2 linked regions of the Rattus norvegicus genome follow. The protein of the gene in region 2 binds, or shares a complex with, the protein of the main gene of each other region. Links are inferred from orthologs where the notes say so. Each region holds a gene or a part of one and is shown on either strand. Other genes may lie near its edges.

Evidence for each region.
Region 1: the proteins of Cinp (region 2) and Airim are in contact, whole or in part, in a cryo-EM structure (PDB 8RHN), measured with the Homo sapiens proteins. The link is inferred for Rattus norvegicus from reciprocal best matches to the Homo sapiens genes CINP and AIRIM. Residues at the interface, in NP_116019.1 of Homo sapiens: Leu161, Leu162, Thr165, Glu169, Asp177, Leu178, Leu180, Ser181, Tyr182, Ser184, Met185, His188, Pro190, Tyr191, Val192, Glu193, Ser194; in NP_001289959.1 of Homo sapiens: Leu107, Gln110, Ala113, Ala114, Asn116, Leu117, Phe119, Val122, Ala124, Leu125, Phe128, Pro129, Asp130, Leu131, Arg134, Leu135, Lys138, Gln139, Ala142.

What each region holds. Positions count from the first base shown.
Region 1 is NC_086023.1:142,486,201-142,489,333, reverse strand, and holds the end of Airim (ribosome biogenesis protein C1orf109 homolog), read right to left. Parts: intron 2,662-3,133; coding exon 2,482-2,661; coding exon of another isoform or gene 2,352-2,481; exon of another isoform or gene 1,056-2,351; coding exon 937-1,055; intron 801-936; coding exon 721-800; 3' UTR 641-720; downstream 1-640. UniProt on the Homo sapiens protein: Part of the 55LCC heterohexameric ATPase complex which is chromatin-associated and promotes replisome proteostasis to maintain replication fork progression and genome stability.
Region 2 is NC_086024.1:135,706,191-135,708,716, reverse strand, and holds the end of Cinp (cyclin-dependent kinase 2-interacting protein), read left to right. Parts: exon of another isoform or gene 1-924; coding exon 925-1,127; 3' UTR 1,128-1,926; downstream 1,927-2,526. UniProt on the Homo sapiens protein: Component of the DNA replication complex, which interacts with two kinases, CDK2 and CDC7, thereby providing a functional and physical link between CDK2 and CDC7 during firing of the origins of replication.

The sequences.
Region 1 (3,133 bases), on a different chromosome or scaffold from region 2:
ACTATTCCTCAGGTACCTCTCTTTTCTTTTTTGAGACAGTCTCAGTTTGTGACCTTCATTGGCCTGGAGTTATGTAGACCAAATTAATCTCAAAATCACAGAGATCCACCTGTCTTTGCCTCTAGTCCTGGGTGGGATACCCAAGCTCCCCAGCCTGCCCTTAACTTTTCAACAGCAACAAGAGCAGGGCATTCAGAACCATTCATGCTGCACCATCGCCCCCTGGTGGCTGACTCTGGAAGTGGAAATTGGCTTGATGCGCTTCTGTGAAGCAGTAAACATTGTAAACATTCCCTTTCCTTCAGTCCCTCCCTTTTTGGGGGTCTGTAGGGAATTGAGTCTGCCCCCCGCACCCACCCCACACTGCTCCAACCCTAGATTCCCAGACCCACTCATATCTTTAAGCCATTAAGGACTGAGATACTGACATGCACTAGACCAGGACCTGGGCCAACCAGAGAAGATGGTTCAGATGATAGGCAGCAGCGTCCACACAACTTTGCCTTCTGCCCTTTCCTGCTTTGATGGACCCTGTTTCTCAGCACCACCTCTCCTGTCTCCTCCGCCTCCCTTCACTTCTCAGAGCCGCAGGTGCAGCGGCCATGTCCTACCATGGAGAGGTCCTAGTGGCCTCTACCGGAGGCAGTGGTATTGCAGTGAGTCAGGGTGCAGCAATACTGACCCTCAATTAGAAACAGCCTAGGGTAACAATGGCAGCCCTCAACTGCGGTGCTCCAGATCTCCAGATACTGCACGGCTTCCTGCTTCCTCCAGGAAGAAGGAGACACTCAACAGGATATCTAGAACAGGAAGCAAGGTACAAGGCATCAGGTTTGTCAAGGCCCCAAAGTACAGTAGGGAGTGTCTAACGCCTCCAAAGAGGCCAGCCTGGGGGGAGGGGGGGGGAGGCAGCATGGGACTGACGGACACCAGTACCTGACACAAGGGTTTGGCACTCATCTTCTGAAATTTGGTCCCAGGCCTTGGGCAGTGCTTGGATGCTGGCTAAGTCTCCCCAGTGGATGGAGGAGAGGAGGTGCTTTCTCTTCAGATACCTTCCCAGAAGTTAAGGACTGCTCAGAAAAAGAAACGAACGTATTTAAATCAAGATGCTTGTGTCACCAGATCATGTGATCTTACGGGATTACTGTTGAATGTGGTCCATCTCAGCCATGTGGCTAAAAACAAAAGGGTAGTGGAGCCAACCAGTGTTAGTGGCCACCACTAGCACACCTAGAATGATATTGTAGTTATGATAGAAAACAGGGAAATGAGGATGGCCATCCCCACCTTTCCAGATCAGGCAACAATCTCCTCTGTCAACCTGACTGGATTTAGAATCGCCATGGAAACACGATACAGGTTGTGTCAGTGCTGGTGTCTCCAGAAAGGTTGAACTGAAGTGGGAAGACCCCTCTGAATGTGGTATTGTTCCGTGGGCTGGGGTTGAGGATGAACAGAGAGGAAGTGAACAGAGCCCCAGCAGCCAGCACTCCCTTCCTGCTTCCTGAGCGATGCAGGCACAGCATGACCAGTGGCATATGCTCCTGTCTGTGCCCTCCCCTCTATGATGGACATATCCTCGCAGTTATGGCCTGAAACAAATCTGTCTGTCCTGTTTCGTGATGGATACTTGGTCGCAACATGAAGGACAGTAACGCAGTGGGCACTGCTGGTGCATGCTCAGCTCTGAATTTGTAGCTCACTAAGTGAGCCAGCTGGAGGCCATGGGAGTCTGAGACGCAGAGCCAGGAGCAGTAGTAAAGGGAGCAAAACCAGGGTCAGAGGACAGTCATGGACAAGAATGGAGAAGGCAGACCTGTGGCTAATTTTCTGCTCTCGGGCTTGTTCCCGACCATGCCAACTGTTCTTGAGAACATGGCCCAGCACTGTTAAGCATAGACCTTGACCACGTGGTTCTGCTTAAAACTTCTGAGACCTCTGATTTCAGAGTAACAGCCAAAACCTTCAAGTTCTTTCTCAAAAACAAAAGGGGGGTGGGGAAGGGCTTCTGTCACTATCCTCACACCCTGCCCTTGCCCCACCAGCCTCGTGGTCAGTTCCTACATGAACCAGACATGCTCCCACCCAGGCCTTCACTCCATGTACCCTCTGCTTGGACCACTCTTCTTCTGAATATCCACATGGCTCGAATGCCGTGAGTATCACTGTCTCAGGATGTCACTGTCTCATGGGTTCCTGCCAGGACCACACTACTAAAGTCACGGCCCACCTTCCCTCACTCGTCCTCCCTCATTCTTAGCTCACATCCGACACCATACACTCACTTTTCTACGCCTGCTCTCAGCACTTACAGCAGTGTCTGGCAGATAAACTGTAAGAAATGACTACTAAAAAAAATGCAAGAAGAATCTAAGATTGAGCGTTAAAGAGAACTGCAGCAAATCATGCAGCCTGCTGACCCGTGAAGTCTGAACCTGTAGGGCAGCTCTGGGAGGTCGGGAAGCACTGAAAGGATATGAGCTTCGAAAATGTCTGTCAATGTCCTGCAGCCACTCCAACATGTCAGTCACGGAGGGGCTCACAACCGAGGGCCTCAGGAGAGTATCGATGTCAAGCACGTCCGCATGCTGCTCATAGGTCTGAAACACCTGCTCCACGTGGCTGCTGATGGTGTTGCGAACCCTGAGGAGGGTGGCTCTGTAGAAAAAGTAGGGAGTTAGGTGGTATCCCAGAAAAGATAGGGGGGTAAGGCTTCTCAAATCACTACTGCCATTTTGAGGTTTTGTTTCAGAGGGGACTTAAACCCTTAGACATGTTAGGAAAGCGGTCTACCACTGAGCTACATTCTAATCTCACTTTATAAATTCTTTTTAATTTAGTATGGGGGAAGGGCATGCACATGCCAGAGCACATGTGTGGAGATCAGAGGACTACTTTGTGGTGTCCATTCTGTCCTCCCACCCAGAAACATGGGTCCTGGGGAATGAACCCAGGTCATCAGGCTTGAATACCAAGTCTCTCTACCCAATGAGCCATCTTAACTGCCCATGATGGTCAGTTCTTGAATGGCAATGTGGGCTCAGCGTGCACAGCCTGCTTAAGGAAATGAGTTATTTCCCCTGTGCATAAAGCTCCATTGCTCACTGTGTCTTCCAAGAGCAGCGAACAC
Region 2 (2,526 bases):
GAGGAGGGGTGGGGGTATTGTTTTTGTTTTGTTCGTTTTGATTTTCTCTGTGTAGTCCAGGTTGCTGTGGAACTCACTCTGTAGCCCAGGCTGGCCTCAGATTCTCAAGAGAGCCACCTGCCTCTGCCTCTCAAGTGCTGGAATTAAAGGTGTGAGCCACCACCACCCAGATCAGTTTGTTTTTTTTTTTTTCTTTTTTCTTTTTTTCGGAGCTGGGGACTGAAAGTTTATTTTTTTAAGATTTACTTTATTTTTAATTATTTGTGTGGGTATGTGCACATACATGAAGACAGGTGCCCTTGAAGACCAGGGGCACTGTGTCCCCCTGGAGCAGGAGTGATATGGATTTGTCACCTCCTGACACGTGTGCTGGAAATTGAACCCAGCTCCTCTGGAAGAGCATCCAGTGCTCTTAACTGCTAGATCACCTCTCTAGCCCCCTTCCTTTTCCATAGTCTTAGTCTAGGCTAAACTTAGTCTAGGCTAAACTGGCCCAGGCAGGCCTCAAACTTATAGCAGTCCCCCTGCTTCATCTGGATGAAGTGGCTTACCATTACAAGTTTCGCAAGAGTTGTGTGGCCTTGTGCTTCCTACCATTTACCCATCCATCTAGACTGGCTTGGTCCTTCTTTATCCCAGTGCTGCTCTATCTGCTTTTATGTTTTCTGTTGCCCAGGACACTGAGGATGATCTTGTACCCCCCCCCCTCCATCCTCTTCCAAGCGCTGGGTTGCAAGCATTCACCCCCACACTGCCTCTGGGCACTGGGGATTAGACCTAGGGCTCCATGCATGCTGGGCAAGTACTCTACCAGGTGAGTCACCTTGCCAGTACCAGCTCCGGCTTTTAATCAGGAGCCTGTGAAAGCTCGGCTCCAACTCAGGACAGTGTTCTCATGCAGCCATGGTGTGTGCTCTGTTGCAGATGAGGTCTCCCACCAGCTCTCCGAAGCATACAGGAAGGAGCTCCTTTTGAAGCACACCATTGGCGCAGAGCTGGCCCATACTGTAGACCGCAACCTCAGCCTGACCTACCTGTCCATGTGGCTGCACCAGCCCTACATAGAGAGCGACAGCAAGCTGCAGCTAGAGAGCATGCTGCTGGAAACAGGGCACCGGGCCCTTTGACTCCCTGGCCACCTTGCCTGTGACCACGGTCTTGGAGCTCCAGACCACTGGCTGTTGTGCCTCAAGGGTCCTGGGGTCGCTCTCCCCACTGCTGCAGCTGCCCCACTGCTCCGTCCCAGAGATCCTGAAGCTCCAGTGACATAAACAATGGCTGAGGGCCGAGTTTTGTAAACCGGCGGACTTCACTGTTACATCCTGGAGACAGCCTGAGTTTCCTAGAAGCTACTACTTTGTACCTGTCCTCCATTTGTCTGTTTTGTGGTCCTGGAAATCAAATCCAGACTTCATACAAACTGAATATTCAACTGCTGGTCCACACTCCCAACCCTGTGCTTAAAATCTGAAGAGAATGTTTTAGTTCTGAAACTATCCCAGAAATACCAGACGTGTAAAGTCTCCTAAGTGGGGACAGAGAGATGGTTTAGCAGTTGAGAGCACTTGTGAACTTCTGGTTTCCCCTGGCAGCCACACATATTTGCATGTGCATGTGTGCAAATGCACATGCACCCACAGAGAAATAATCTTTTTAAATTTTAGTTTTACTTAGGTATTTGTGTATAGGCCACATGTACAGATGACCAGGGCAACCACAAATGGGGGTGGGGGTGGGGTCCTTGGAGCTAGAGTTACAAGAGGTTGTCGGCCACCTGATTTGGGTGTCAGAAACCAAACTCCAGTCAGTCCTCTGGAAAAACAGTTCATGCTCTTAAGTGCTCAGTCATTTCTCCTATAGCTGGAAATATATATATTTAATATATAAAATATATTAATAAAATATATTGAAATACACTGTTTTTAATCCAATAGAATTAATTGAGTATAGTGTCACAAAAATGAAAACCACTTACCAAAACTTGCTACTGCTTGCATGAAAAGATGAACAAGCCAGTGAGACGACCAATAACTGCAGCTTGTTTCCATCTGGGGCCTGGATGTGCTGTGTCTGTTTGGCTTTCTCTCAGCCATTAGCATACTGCCTAAGTCCATAGAGAACTAACATTCCTCAGGGAGAGCTGCCTGTATAGTGAGGTCAACTGGCCCTCAGGAACGACCACTTGTACTTCCTTCACTCCTTCCTGATGGGGGCGCACTAAGACCACTGTTCCCATCTGGGGGTGGGCACTCTTGGGCCACTGCGCCCATCTTTTGGGGAATACCCAAGACTACCCTGCTCCTTCTCTCGTGTCTGTGTGTATGGGCACACGAGCTACATTGCATCTGCAGTGGGTGTGGGGCCTTGCCTTCTGCCTTGATACAGAGCCTCTTGTTCACTGCTGTAAACACCGGGATACCTGGCTTGCAAGCTTGTGTTTCTCCTGTCTCAGCCTCTATCTCCTTGTAGATGCCATGGGGGTTACCTACACTTGTGCTGTGCTATGCTGCTTCTAGGGATCTGGAC